Linked DNA regions of Oreochromis niloticus. The protein of the gene in region 2 purifies or fractionates together with the protein of the main gene of each other region. This does not show direct contact. Links are inferred from orthologs where the notes say so. Each region holds a gene or a part of one and is shown on either strand. Other genes may lie near its edges.

The links.
Region 1: the proteins of eapp (region 2) and ecd purify together in Homo sapiens (affinity purification with mass spectrometry; 3 studies listed by BioGRID and IntAct, counting the BioPlex papers as one, with this or other methods). This does not show direct contact. The link is inferred for Oreochromis niloticus from reciprocal best matches to the Homo sapiens genes EAPP and ECD.

What each region holds. Positions count from the first base shown.
Region 1 is NC_031978.2:12,751,905-12,759,584, forward strand, and holds the start of ecd (protein ecdysoneless homolog), read left to right. Parts: upstream 1-4,137; 5' UTR 4,138-4,221; intron 4,222-4,812; coding exon of another isoform or gene 4,813-4,859; exon of another isoform or gene 4,860-5,365; intron 5,366-5,471; exon of another isoform or gene 5,472-5,793; intron 5,794-5,938; exon of another isoform or gene 5,939-5,957; 5' UTR 5,958-5,976; coding exon 5,977-6,181; intron 6,182-6,299; coding exon 6,300-6,417; intron 6,418-6,576; coding exon 6,577-6,664; intron 6,665-7,680. Other genes in the region: protein FAM149B1, read right to left, coding at 646-789, 961-1,109, 1,749-1,893, 2,562-2,678, 4,813-4,859. UniProt on the Homo sapiens protein: Regulator of p53/TP53 stability and function. Inhibits MDM2-mediated degradation of p53/TP53 possibly by cooperating in part with TXNIP. May be involved transcriptional regulation. In vitro has intrinsic transactivation activity enhanced by EP300.
Region 2 is NC_031983.2:4,398,406-4,406,441, reverse strand, and holds the start of eapp (E2F-associated phosphoprotein), read right to left. Parts: upstream 3,422-8,036; 5' UTR 3,311-3,421; coding exon 3,231-3,310; intron 2,003-3,230; coding exon 1,824-2,002; intron 170-1,823; coding exon 38-169; intron 1-37. UniProt on the Homo sapiens protein: May play an important role in the fine-tuning of both major E2F1 activities, the regulation of the cell-cycle and the induction of apoptosis. Promotes S-phase entry, and inhibits p14(ARP) expression.

The DNA.
Region 1 (7,680 bases), on a different chromosome or scaffold from region 2:
TCATTTTCTCAGAACCATGATACCAATCATGACTTTGGCTCAGATTATTAATTAAAAAGCCAGAGGATCTAGGTCACAAAACCAGAGTCAGCCAGGACTCTTCTATAATTGATGCAAAAAAAGGAGTAATCTGGACAGCCAACATCTACTCAAGACAGACAGACAGAGGCATTGCAGTTTTTCTTTAAATAATAAAGCAAGATATGGCTCTTTTGGGCTTTGAGCATACATAACTGCTGTAAACTGTTTCATAGTTAGTGTTAACAGAGTTTATTGACAGTAATGGCTGATAATTCTTGTCTCTGCTGTTTCAGAGTAAAAGCTGAAGACTGACTGATTAAGCAAAATGCAATGTCCATTTTAAGCGGCAGTGACAGGCTGTTCTCAGTAATGTTTGACATTCCTGAAATCTTCTTCAGCCAAGAATGATAAAAGCGATAACATATCAGCCATAATTATGTGGACACAAATCAAACATAACAGCCTAAGATGCTATCGAAACTGCACCCTCCAAGATAACGTTAGATCAGATGGTGAGATACCACTCACACACGCAGAGATATCTTCGTATATCTGAGAGAGATGCAACAAGTGATCTCTAACCTTATGTATCGACTCAGTGCAGATTGGGACTTTGAGACTTACTCTGTTCCTTCCCTATCTTTCTCCTGGGGTTTCACACCGCTTTCTTTGCCCGCTGACGGCCTGCTGGAAGCGCTGCCTTTCCCTGAGGTAGTATACCACTGGAAGCCTTCATCACTGGGACACAGCAGCTGAGTCCCCAGGATACTGAGTGACACACACAATGAATATGTAAAACAAGTGTGATTCTGTAGAAGAATGGAACACTTTAACAGGTTTTTCTCCACAATCAGAATTAGTCTTTGATCCCACTGCTGCCCCATTTCGTTGAGAATTTAAAAAGGGCTGGCTGCTGATAGGAGACAGCGAATTAGATACCGAAGATGAGGGAAACGTGTGGCCCACTGCTGACATTCATCCTGGAGCCCCTGGAGTATCCCTCCCCCACTGCCTCTTCCCTCATAAAGATCTTTGTCGATCTCCTCAAACATTTGCTGCACCTGCCGTGATGCTGCCTTGTCAAACTCCTATGGGATGGAAACAGGAACATAGGAAAGAGAGTTATTCTTCACGACTAAAGGTGCCGCCTTTTACTTACTGGCAACATATCACTATTCAATGCAAGCATCAACGTGCATGATAATTAGCTCCTAGTCTCTTGAGGTGCATTCAAGTGTTTGTGGTCAAGTTGTTCATGTCATTAAAAAAAAGATCAAAGCGGAGAAAGATGTATATTTAAGAGAATGTCTCTTAACTGAGAGGGTTTGCTTCTCAGAAGCAACTTGAGAACAAAAAAACTAAATAAATCATTGAGTCCGAAAAAGTTTTGTAGAAACAGCAGGGTCGAGAAAGCACGACATAACAACAAACCAGAAAGCAGAATCAGAGTTTGTGTGTACAAACAAAGCATCCACTATACTATATAAATATTGTGTTCATCTGTCTTCTTCTAAATGTTTCCACAAATTTGTGAAAAAGAGGCAAATGTTAGCAACTAAATGAAAATCTAACATAGGACTGCAGCAATGTGTTTGTGTCTATAATAAGACAACAGAAAAAAAATGAAAAACAACATATCTAGTGTTTTAGTGTGCACAGTGTGTACATCCTTTGTTTTACAGACAGAGTCAGGCTGGCATCAATAGTTTTCTCATGAGCAGACTTACATCGTAGCCCCAGGAGAAAACAGAGCTCCTCTCGGTGGAGATGCCAGTACCCGTGGAGCTGTGAATACCTAACCAGGACTGGCTGGAGTCTACTGAGATGACAGTGGGGCACTGAGAGTGGCCTGAGGCAGCAGATGTCTCTGAGCTAAGCACAAAGACAAAACAGTTATGTACCCTGGCTGTAAAAACAACGTGAAGAACCAAATTCCCATATATGAAGTGTCTTGTATTTCTAGCACTCGTTCTTTCTTTTCAGCACACGATTTCTCTTTTCATCAGTTTTTCTTGTACTAGAAGAAATGGAAGAACCAACAACTTGTGTAATCTGAAGAATAAGCCGAGTCTCTGTTACTCCGCTGAGGGAATCGAACTGGTGTCAGCTGCTGATATTATCAAGGTGGAAAGTGAAGGCCAAATGTCAAGGCAATTGAATATTCTAACAGGCTGCCTCATATTTTATTCTTTTAACTGCGCATCTGAAGGAGGCAATGTGATATGAATTAATCCGCTGCTTCTGGGTGTCACATAGCAAGAGCCCTGAGAATCAGTTGTCTGCTCAAGATGGTGTAACATTACAAAATACACAAGCATGAGAATGTGTGTATGTGTGACTGGTTGCAGGCTGTTTTATTTCAGCCTTATTCTGGTGTTGCTTAGGTTTGTCTGCTTACATAACAGCCAAGAAGCAAGGCTTGACTGCTCTGCAGTCATTTTGTAACATACTCTAGGCACTTATTTGAGCACAGAGTTTCTTAAGTACCACTGTCTTTGTTCTCACACAGATTTCAATACAATACTGTAACAAGCTGTTACCTGTTGTGTGCAGAAGCAGCTTCCTGCAGGTCATGGAGGTAGCTCGGAGGGGTTTGGTTGTCGTCTGCTTCTTCTGGGAGAGGATGGTGGTCAAGGCTGCTTCGAGACAACCCACGACTGCAATAAAGACAGATTTAGAGCATTCAGTGAAAAAGCAATCAACAAAAGAGTGTGCAATTGCATTTTGGGATGCTAGGGAAGGATATTAATATGTCAACTCCAACTACCCTGTCTGAATCTGAACACTGTGTTGAAATAGAATAGAAAAAACTATGGGTGCGACTAAGGTGTGCAAAAGCTCCATCACCATGAGTCTTATTAAAATTATTTTTGCAATGAGCAACTGTCAGAGAAACACAGCCTTTATAAAAGGGAATGATAAGGTCAGAGCAGATTACGATGGATCTAAAGAAATCAGATGTAGAGTCCCTATTATAGTCACTGATGAACTTATGGCACATACACAGTGCTGTGAAAACTATTTGCCACCCTTCCTGATAGCTGATTCAGATCACCAGTCAAATGTTAAGATTATACAAAAATAACTCTGGTAAATACAAAATGCAGTTTTTAAATGGATGGATGGGTGAGTGGGTGAAGAAAATAATTGCCCCTAAACCTAATAACTGGCTGTGCCACCCCTGGCAGCAAGAACTGCAATTTAGAGTTTGTGTTTGCGATAACAGGCAATGCTTAAAATTCACTAGGGAAGAATTTTGGCCCACTCATCTGTGTAGAATTGTCATAACTCAGCCACACTGGTGGTTTTTTGAGCATGAAAGGTCATGCCAAAGCATCTCAATCAGATTTAAGTTCAGACTTTGACTAGGGCACTGTAAAACCTTAATTTGTCACCTCCATTCAGAATGCATTTGCTGGTGTGTTTCGAATTATAGTTCTGCTGCATAACCCAACTGTGCTTGAGCTTCAGTGCACGTACTGATAGCCAGACAATCTTCTGCAGGATTTCTGGTAGTGAGCAGAATTCATATTTCCATCAATTATGCTTCATCTAGGTCCTGAGAAGCAAAGCAGCCCCAGACCATCACACTACCACCACTATGTTTGAATGTTGCTGGCAGTTTTTTTTATGAAATGCTGAGTTAGTTTTACACCAGATAAAACAGGACATAAACCTTGTACAACGTTCAACTTTTGTCTCATCAGTCCAAAGATTTTTTTCCCACAAGTCTTCATGAAGGGATCACCAAGATGTTTTCTGGCAAACGAGACGAGCCTTCGTTTCTTTCTGGTCAGCAGTGGTTTTTGCCATTGACCTCTCCCGTGGATGCCATTTTTGCCCAGTTTCTTTTTTTTGTTGTTGTTGTTGAATGATGAACACTGATATTAACTGAGACATACGAGGCCTGCAGTTTTCCAAAAGCCTTAGTAATGGCTTTGTCACCATTTCCAGAATAAAAAAATTCAGTGAATTTGTTTCTCAGCTGTTTTTGAGTTTATGTAGATTGTAGCTCAGTGTGTTGCTTTTTGAGATCCTTTGAGATCTTTTCACCCACTTACTTAAATTATTTCTTAATTCAACAGGTCTGGCAGTAATCAAGCCTGGGTGTGTCTAGTGAAATTGAACACAGCTTTCCAAACAATGTGGTTAATTTATGGCATAACAAGGGAGGGTAAAGACTTTTTCACACAGGAGCAGGTAGGTTTGGATAGGTTTTTCCCCCCCAAATAAATGAAATCATTTAAAAACTGCATTTCGCGTTTAGTTGAAATATTTTTGTTTAATATTTACTCATATATTTGTCTATTTTTTTCGCTGCACTGTAATATGACAAGATGACATGAAGAAAACAGACACCAGTGAAAACAGCTGGAGATTATGTGTTTTTTAAACATTACACTGTGATTACACTTGATTCCATAGTATCTTCCCATAGTGTTGGTTTTGTATCTCTAATTGAGTTAATCTCGTTAAATAAATGTCTACATTTCATTCTTATGGCTTGACAACTTTCTCTGGAGAGAAAATAAATAGAGTGGGTGGTATGAAATAAAAATGTGACAATCATCTAAAATGAGCTGATTGCCATGTTCACACTGCATCTGTCTAAAACAGACCCCGGGCAAGCTGGAATAACACCACATCGATCAACACAAATAATCATTTTTACTCTTTCTGTCACTAGTGTAGGTTAGCAGTCAATCATCAAATCCCCCTCCAATGAATAATAGCAGCATTCAATAACCGTTAGGGAAGGAAAAAAAGAAAGAAATGATGTCAGCTACTCACATCTCGAGTTTGTGCGATACAGGTCTCCGGTTGTATCGTGAAATCATTCTCCTTTGCCTCCGTATTATATGCTCAAACCCTCTCCTCTCCTCCTCGCCTCCACTTCCAGGACGCTCAGGGAACGGTTCAGATGGAGCTCTGACATTTCCTCTAATATTAGCCCGCAGATATTCTGGATAGAGAGGCTGTTCCTTAACGGCTGCAGCTAAGCTACGTCCAAAAAAATAAGCTAGCTACTGGTACAAGGGTGGCCAAATTATTTTTAGAAAAAAAGAAAAAGGCACAAATAGCATCGTACAATTTCCACATTCCCTCATAAAATAATTCTTGGTTTACTAAATGAGCATATTATGTAGCCCAGAAGTTCACTATAATTTACGTTTCTCTCTCTCTCTCTCTCTCTCCCTATATATATATATATATATATAAAGGAATATATATATTTTTTAATGAGTGTTTAACGTTATTGGAGCTATCGCCAGCGCATAGGATATTCTTTGCTAAAGCTAGCATCACCACCAACAACAAAAATACAGCGGCTGTCATGGATACGCAGCTTCGTTGCCCCGAGGGATCGTGGGAAATGTATTTCAGGCCAACTAAATGTTTCTTGAAAGTCAAAGGCTGCATACTTCAATTCCCAGCATTCATTGCAATAGCATGTTGCGTTTATAAAATGTATTCGCCGGTCCTGTAATTTTAACTAAATGCAAGGTGTATATTTATCAAATTTAGTGGAAAATTAGACTTATTATGTAATGTGCGTTTATCACAATGTAAAGTATTTTTTGAATCGGTAAAAACAAAAACAGAAGGTAGGAACTTTGTTTATTATCTGTTTGGCGAGGACGACTGGAATTCATCGTAGGACCTAAATAGTTACAGATGGCGTGAAAGAACGTATTTATGAATAACCGTAATAAGAGCCGCTACAGAATATACTAACACAACATAGCCAATTTAAAAGGAAGACAAGACAAGGTAAGGCCAAATTAAGTTTTCAAGAGGTTGTCGTGACAATCACTAGTAATACGTTGAGTTTATCTAGAAGCCAACGATTCCCTCAAAGTCATAATATAAAAACAGACATTGACGACCTTTCATATGTCTTTGCACATCGCTTTAGCGTCGTATCTTTTTGTTAGGTCTTTTAAAACTGCTACTATGGAGGCTCTGCAGAGGAGAATGATTGAGGAGGACATGGTCCAGTACAAGCTCTTCTTGATCCAGCCAAGCAGCTCTTCTTCACAGAAGACTGAGGAACGTCTGACACATCTAGTAGAGGAGATTTTGGCAAAGGTTGCCCCTCTTCTGATACAGTACATCTGGCAGCATCAGCCATTCAACCTCAAGTATCACCCTGAGAAAGGTAGAACCTTTTCAGCACCCCAGAAAGGAAGCAGTTTAGATATGCACATTGTTTGTCTTTACGTGGTTAACACTTGGTACACACACTAATGGCTGGTGTGTATGGATCTCATTCACAGGTGGCATTCCTGCTCACATTGGTGGAAGCACTCAGTTTGGAGACAATGTTGAGGACGAGTGGTTTATCGTTTATCTCCTGCTGCAAATCACAGAGGCTTTCCCTGAGCTTGCAGCAAGGTAATAGTGATCCTGCTCATAGTTTCTAAATATTTATAAACTCAGAGCAGAGTTTGCACAAAATAATAAAACAAAGGTATCAATAAATAAATAAACACTATTGAAATGCTCACCAGTCATTTATGTCTTTGTTTCCAAAATAATTGTTTATATGTGCAGAGTTGAGGATAATGATGGGGAGTTTCTCCTGATTGAAGCAGCAGATTACCTTCCTAAGTGGCTGAATCCAGACACAAGTGAAAACAGGGTGAGTTTTCCACATGACATGGCAGAGTTGACAGTACTGGAAGCACTGTATGTTTCAGCCCAAATAATTCACTGCCTCCCACAGCATACTATGGAGTTATAAACTGATCCCCAGGCAAGCTTTGGTTTCATTTCAGACCTCCCTACTGATACGTTGAAATGCGATTCACAACACAAGGGCTGTATGTCAAAATATTTTTCATTTTAAATAAAAAAAACAGGAATGTTAACTTTACTTATTACTTAAAATGGTTGTCTGTAAAGACTTTCTCATCGGTCAGCTGTCAGAGCTTAAAGAAAAAGGCTTATTCCATAATAAATGACTGGCAAGAGCCCTCCAGCCATTAAGGGCATCTACCTCCAGCTGTACCTGCATAAGGCCCACGGCATTATCAAGGATCACAGCCATCCAGCACACCAACTAATCTGCTTGTTTTCCATTAAAGAACAGTCTTTATTATCAACCAAGTGTTTGGTCAAGTGTTAGTCTCATTGTCATCTTCAAGTTTGGACAGTATTATTTCAGAAATGATCTGACACTTTACTGAAATGCAATGTGCAAGCCAGGTTAAATAATCTCACTGGCACTACTGCTTACTGCGCAATTACTCATGTGTAGTAACGCTGTATACTGCACGCCTATAATTTTAAGAATGTGTATCCCATTTGTGAATTCTATTTCTATCTCTAATAGTATTTTAATTTTAAATTTATATTGATTTAGTGTTGTTTATTTATTTTTTAAATCTTGTTAAATTTTTAGATGCTTGGTGACTTTTTTTCCTCATCTTGTTGAGTGTATTTCATTGTAATGTTGACCCTGTGTTAAGCTCGGTTTACAATGCACCCAATTGGATAGAATTACTTATCATCATGCTTCATTTTTGTTTGTTTTCAATTTGACTATTCCTGATTAAAGTTCATGCTTAAGTGGAATAAACCAAGCCTGGAATGAACAAGCTTGGAAGAAAACATGCAAAAACTACCTGCACAGCCCTTTTAAATTTTGTTTACTTG
Region 2 (8,036 bases):
CTGTTGGTAACCACAGCAGGAAAACCAGTTCTCTTACTCGGTGTGCCGTCTTCCTCTGAGTCAGAGTCAAAATAAACCTCATCATACATCTGTGGGTTAGAAAGTCCAGGACCACCACCAGCACCTCCTCCCCCTTCTTCTTCTCCTCCTCCTGGTCTTTTTGAGGTCTCTACCAGAGAACAAATACACAACTCGTAAGCACAAACTGTATTTACAGAGACGGTCTGTCTCACACAGCAAGATAAGTTAGTTAGTTAACCGTGGGATTAAACTTGGCTTCTTCCTATGTCAACACACTACTCTTCCTAGTACTTGTTTTGTTTGTTGTATTGTTGAGCTTATACTGTGTTCCAGATACCTTAGATGTCGGAACTCAGGAGTGATGTCATTCCCGAGTGCATTACAGTATAAAATTGTAAAAGTGAAAAACTAGGAACTTCACTAGAACTGAAGAAGCTTCTTGGATGAGAAGTGAAAAGTCTTCAAGCAACTTAAAGAAGACCAGATGCTTTTCTTTCCAAGCTCCTTAGACTACGATGACCTGGATTACTGAGAACCTTCACAGACACACAGGTGATTATTTTAACATATTTTCATTAAAAATGCTCCAAACAACAACATCACAAACACTGTCAGCTCATTCAATGACTAGAATTAGCTAAGATTAAGCTTAACACACAGCTTTTGGCTATAGCTGCCATCTAGAGCTGGGCGATAAAACGATAACGATATGTATTGCGAAATAACTTTTTCTCGATAGAAAAATTAAACTATTGCGATAGGCCTCATCTCTCTTGTCCTCTTAAAAAAAACAAAAAAACAACAGCCAATCCAAATTAAGTAGCGCAGAGCCGAACCAATCACAGCCGCAGCGTCACGTCACGTGACTTGTTACGTACAGCACAAGCGCCAAGGCGCACATGTGTATTTGTTTTTGCAGCCGTGCAGCCCAGGTAATGAAGGAAATGAGTTTGCCGACTAGAGAAAAATCAACCGAGAGCGTGAGCGAAGGTTACCAAAGAAAAAACAGATGATGGTTCCAATGCCGGAGAGCTTGTCGAACGGAAGGGCCACAGAAGTTCCGTAGTGTGAAGGTATTTCGGCTATTTCAAGTCTGACAAAAAACAGAGTAGCGCGCACTGTAAATTGTGCCGAAAGCAAGTCTGGAAATACAATAAAGCGGTGCATGCTCAATCTCTGACTGAAAGCGCTAATTCGTCATTCGGCTTTTGTCAGACTAAAGTAACTGTTAAAACTGTTTGAAAAGCTAAGCTATACAACAAGGAGAGATTGAGAATTTTCTTTTAGTTCTCAGTTTATTTGATATTGACAAAAGTTAGTCAATTTTGTCTGTTCTTCTGTAAAACAACCTAAGATTTATTTTTAGAATTAATATTTTGTTTCTAAGTGGAATTGACAATTTAGTAGTCTGTTTTGTTTGTTCTATTTTGAAACTTAAATGCTTTAGCGGCTGCGTTTTGTGTAGTTTGCAATATTTGCCTTTATTTATCTGAAACTGAAGTCTCATGTTCCTTAAGTACATCTGCCCTGTTAAACTTATTATGGGAAATAAATATTTTAATTAAAACAAGCTGCTAATTATTTCACATTTTACTTGTGAGCAACGGCACATTTAAATCTTACAAATATAGTTATTTGGCTTATATCGTGAAATATATCGTTATCGCCTGAAATGAAAAAAACATATCGTGATATGAAAAAAATCTTATATCGCCCAGCTCTACTGCCATCTAATCAGTTGATAGCAAAGTAATTCCAGACATATCACTATGAAAATACAAATACTAGCAGCTGAGTGTTACCTGCTGCTGGTACCCAGGTTCCCTGCATGGTCTTGATGGTGGAGCTGAGCTCTGCCTCCATCTCTTTTTCAAAATCATCCTCGCTGGATGACTCGCTCTCCCCGGTTAGATACTCTCTGATCAGCTTCTTTTTCTGGTCCGGAGTCCCGTTCAGGAGCACGTCCAACTCATCCTCCGAACTAAAACAGAGAGAAAGATTTCAGAAAAAAAAACAGACTCTCAAACCCAGGAGATTACTAAATTGAAGTAACCATTCATGTGTTATTCTGCACATGTGACATTATATCATGTGGTGGCATCGTATAGTGTTTAACAGACCAAATAATTAAGCACTTAATTTTGGAAACCATTAATCCACGTCGAAACTGTCGCTTTAAGCTTAGCTCAAAACCAAAATAAGTTGCCTGTACTCACTAAATCCATCGGTACATACATATTTGCTGCTTTAATAATGAAATTTCATATCTTCAGGTAGACAAGTTCTTTTGAAGTTTTGGACTTCTGATTGGACACATCAAGACGTCTCAGGACATCACTTATAAATATTAATAATTATGACGTCTTGCTTAATTTTCTCTAATTAAGTGCCATAATAATAAATCCAGAAAATTCTTGGCTAATTACGGCAATAATAAGTATCTGCACTCGTGTTTTTATTTTCTTCTCATCCGCTTGCCTGTAACATTTAGACTTATAAAAATCTGCCGCCTTTCTATAATCAGAATCAGAATACTTTATTGATCCCTAGGGGAAATTATTTTTCGTTACAGTGCTCCATTATAAACAAACACTAACAAAGACAGACAATACACCAACTAAGAATAGCTGAAAAGAACATGTGCAAGAAGGGTGTAGCTGTTGCAGTAAACAGTGTGTTAAGTGGAGGAGTTGTACAGGGAGATGGCCACAGGCAGGAATGATTTCCTGTGTCGTTCAGTGGTGCTTTTCGGTAATCTCAGTCCCCCACTGAACGTGCTCCTGTGACTGACCAGCATGTCATGGAGTGGGTGGGAGGTGTTATCCAACATTGTCTTTATCTTGGACAACATCCGCCTCTCCGACACCACCTTGAGGGAGTCCAGCTCCATCCCCACAACAATACTGGCCTTACGAATCAGTTTATCGAGTCTGTTGGCATCTGCGACCCTCAGCCTGCTCCCCCAGCATGCAACAGCATAGAGGATTGCACTGGCCACAACAGACTCATAGAAAATCCTGAGCATCATAATCATAATTAATGATAATTAAGCAGTAACATCCATGTCACGTTAAAATAAATTCACCGCAAAGAGCGGCTCAGCGCAGTCTCCCTGCTATTCCAGTTTGTTTACATGTTAGCTCCCAGCTAGCTATCTCCACTTTAGCCTAATCGGCCCCTAAAAATAAACACACGTATTATCCTCGCACCTGCTGGCGGCCCGCTCTTCGTCGCTCGGCTCTTCGATCTCATATGACTCAAAGTCTTGTGCTTGACCCAGCTTATTCATTTTAAATGTTTGAGGAGCTTCAATTACAATAGCATGAGGTGCTGATAAGTTAGCAACAACACGCCAAGTTGCTTCTTCCGCTTCCGCTTCTTCTTCTTTTGTGTTTAATAAGGGGTTGGTAAGCGGTACTAAAGTCCATTACCGCCGTCAACTGGGCTGGAGTGTGGGACAGGCGCTTAGGGAGGAATATAACAAAAGGAGAAAAAAGGGGGGAAAACTTCCCTTCAGTCTCTTTAAAACTTTTTTATGTTATAAAGTTTTATATAGAGTCGCCAGCAAAGCACCCCCACACTATCACACCTCCTCCTCCATGCTTATAGAGACCATCCGTTCACCTTTTCTGCGTCGCACAAAGATGGAAGCATCTCAAATTTGCGCTCATCAGAAAAAAGCACAAATTTCTACTGGTCTAATGCCCATTGCTTGTTTTTCCTAGCTCCAAACAAATCTCTTCTGTTTGTTGCTTTTCCTTAGTAGTGGTTTCTTAGCAGCTATTTGACCATAAAGGCCTGATTAGCACAGATTTGTCTGCTACTGGAACTCTCTTTTCCAGACTGACTGTACTTCAGTTCTGAAAGTAATGATTGACTGTCATTTCTCTTTACTTAGGTGATTGGTTCTTGTCATAATATGGAATAGGGTTGTCACCTGTGTGCCAATCTGACTTCTGCACAACATGGTAAATGGTAAATGGCCTGTATTTATATAGCGCCTTAACAGTCCCTAAGGACCCCAAAGCGCTTTACATATCCAGTCATCCACCCATTCACACACACATTCACACACTGGTGATGGCAAGCTACATTGTAGCCACAGCCACCCTGGGGCGCACTGACAGATGACTGATGGTTCCAACCCCATTAAGCAGGCATAGCTGGTGCTGTGGGAAACGCAAAAATCTCACACTCCAAGCCCCGCAACATCACAAAAAGAAATTTGTTTCTTCACAACTTATTCAGTTTTAACTGGTGTCATATTACATTGATTGACAATGTTGATTTAGCTCGGAAATATTTCCAGGAGAGTTTTATCTGCTTTGTGGACAAACATGCTCCCTTTTGCCAGGTCAGAGTTAAAGGTCGGGGGAGCCCCTGGTTCAATTCTGAAGTGGCTGGTCTCCAACATGAGAGAAACCAAGCCTGGGCAGCTGTGAGAAAGTCAGATTCTGATGGTGATTGGCTATGTTTTCATCAGTTGCGTTTACTGCGTTTATGGTTTACTGCTTCCATCAAAAAGGCCAACTGTGGCTACTTTTTGACTTTAACCACTGACAGTCTAAATTACCCTAGGAGGTGAGGTTTTGGCAAACTATAAAGTCTCTCTCTGCCACAGAGCTACCTCCTCACCTAATTATCAACTCCACTCCTGTGTCAGACAAAACCAAAACTCTCAATTGTTGTTATGAACACTTTGTTGCCTCTTGTTCTGTTTAGCACATACATATATAACTCTGCTTGTAGTTCATTGTTTACTAATACTTTTCCCTTTACACTCTTTATGGTAGAAGAGGGATGTAAGGCTTTGAAATGCCTTGACACCAAAAACGCCGGTCTTGACAATCTGTCTCCTTTCTTCTTGCTTCTAGCTGCAAATATCATAGCTGAGCCAGTGTCTTATATTTTGAATCTTTCTAAACAACAGAACACTTTACCAGAGATGTGGATGCATGCCTTTGTACTCCCCCTACTGAAAAGCGGGGATTCTTCAACGGTTAATAATTACAAGCCAATTTCCAAACTCTGTATCTTAGCTAAGATTCTTAAAAGGCTAGTAAATAAAAAGCTTAAAAGTTATCTGAATGAAAACAGAATTTTATCTCCTTTCCAGTCTGGTCTTAGGAAACTGCAAAGTACTGTAACTGCTTCCCAAAAAGTTTTCAGTGACGTCTATGAAGCCTTGCACGCAATAAAAGAATCTATGCATTTTTATGCAGATGAGTTCTTTATTATTGTTCTCGTACCATCGACATGGTTTTCAAACAATTACAGCTAGTTCTTGATAGTATTCAGTCACAGTTGAGTCAGCTCAGACTGGTTTTAAATGCAGAAAAAAGCAAAGTCAAACAGAAGTCTCAAACAGAAGGAGGGTGATGGCAGTACTTTCTTTTCTTGTATCTGCTCAAGGCATTTCCATTGGAACTATGGCCTCATACAAATATCTAGGTATTGTGTCTGATAAAAATCTTTCCTTTAAGCCACACATTGACCACCTAATAAAGAAGCTGAGGCTGAAGTTGGGGTTCTTTTTCAGAAACACATCATGTTTGTCTTTCACAGCAAGGAAAAGACTTGTTGCTGGCACTTTTTTTACCCCTCCTGGATTACGGTGATACAATTTACACGAATGCCCGTGCTCACTCTCTTCATCTGTTGGATTCTGTCTATCATGTGGCATTAAAAATTATAATTGGCTGTAAACCTTTAACACGCCACTGTACTTTATATTCTCTTGTTGACTGATCCCCATTGGCCTTACGCAGGACGGTTCATTGGTATCACTTTATCTATAAGTCTGTTTCTGGTTTATTGCCCTGTTATTTATCAGAGTACATGTTATGCAAACAGTTTATTCATAGACTGTGGTCTCAGGACGTCATTACATTCACTGTTCTATCAGTTCACACAGAGCTTGGAAAGAAGGTATTCTTCTTTTCTGCCCCGTGTTCATGGAAAACATTACAGAAGGATTTGAAGCTCTCTCAACTGATTTCACTTGCAGACTTTAAAAGACGTATAAATGTTTTTGTGAAATCATCACTGGGAACTTGTCTGCCTTTGATATGACTGTGTACATTAGACAAGTTTAGCTATTTTATTGTTTCTGTTATTGTTGTAAGTTTAATATGTTTGTCTGGAACAGGTCTCGCTTCTAAATGACACATTGAGTCTTAATGGGTCTACCTGTATAAATAAAGGTTTAATAAAAATAAAAATGTAAACACAATATTCAGTTTTTAAATGATTTTATTCATTCAGAAAATACAAAAAGCCATCCAAATGTACCCAGCCCTGTGGTCAACAAGTAATTGGTGTGAGACTGCTTTGCTGTTGGATGACCTGGACAATTCATGACCATGACCAACCATGAATTCTGCTCTCTGCCACAAAATCCTGAAGGAAAATAGCTAGCCACTAGCTTGTGCCTTGAAGCTCAAGCACACTCAGGTCATGTAGCAGCACAATGATCTGAAACACACCAGCAGCTTCACCTCTGAAAAAAAGGGTTTGGAGAGGCCCAATCAAACTCGGAACAGTTTTATGACCTTAAACAGAAAACCCTTCAATGTGGCTGAAGTAGAACAATTCTGGAAAAAAGAGTGGGCCAAAATTCCTCTACAGCTTTGTGAAAGACTCATTGCCAGTTATCACAAATGTCTGATTGCAGTTCTCGCTGCCAAGGGTGGCACAACCAGTTATTCTGTTTAGGTGGTAATTACTTTTTCACACAGGCTTGGATATGTTTTTTCCTTAATAACTGAAATCATCATTTCAAAACTGCAGTTTGCATTTACTGCGTTTTATCTTTGTCTAATATTACAATTTATTTGATGATCAGAAACAAGTGTGACAAATACACAAAAACTAAAAACTTCTTCACATCACTGTATATTACCTTAGAACATTTGTGCACTCAAACAATTTTTTTTCCAGGTGAGGAAATAAATTATTAACAGTTAGTTTCATTGGTTGAAATTGTCATTTCAAGAGTTTTTCATGTAAGAAAGCCATGAAAGTTGACTGCATCACTGATACTGGAGGTGATTCTCAGGAGCCAGGTTTTGATGGTGATGCTGGCATGTAGTGCACCATCTTTTGTGGTCAAAGGACATACTGGAAGATCTCTCAACACCTGTCTCTTCTCTGTTTTGATGTTGTCCATTAAAGCTTTGGTAAGTATTGGTGAAATATTCCATGATAACATTTCAGAAGAGTTTCATCCTGTATTTATGGATGGCGTGGTGATCTGTGATTTCAGTGACAGAATCATGCATGTTTTTAATGCCACGTGAGAGCCCCAAAATCACCCAGTGTTGACCTTGTCCCTTGCACACAGATTTCTGCACATCAGAATCTTTTGATGATATAATGCACTTTAAGAGATATTCAAAGTGTTTTTCGTTGGAGAGAATTATTCTGAAGTTTTTCCATAATTTGTTGACATTCTTTTTCTTTTTTTTTTGCAGAAGAGTGAAACTCTGCCAGTCTGTACTTCCAAAAAACCCCCGCCTCTCTAAGATCCTTCTTTTATACCCAACCATGTTACTGACCTGTTGTTATTTAACATAAATGGCAGTAAAATGTTCCCTCAGCCGTTTGTTTGTAGTGCCACTTACTTTTCCAACCTATTCCTGCTCTTGCCTAACATTTTTGTTTGAGCTGAAAATGAATTGATTTTTTTTTCTAAATAGTAAAATTTGAATTGTCAATAAAATATGGATTTGTAAGATTTACAGATCATTCTGTCTTTATTTATATTGTGCTAGTGCTTTTGGAAGTAGGGATGAGCCGCCACTAGGTGGAGCCAAAAGATCAGACATGTTGTTTCAGAAGCTCAGGACAGATGTGCTGATGAAGGCAGACACCATGAGGTGCTATTAGGAAGGAGGATACACACAAATTCATCCATCCATCCATCCTCTTGTGCTTGTCCTGTCCCTACTCCTTTAGTTTTTCCCATTTTTGAATTAATGATGACTTGGCATCATTATTTGAAGTGGGACAAAGGC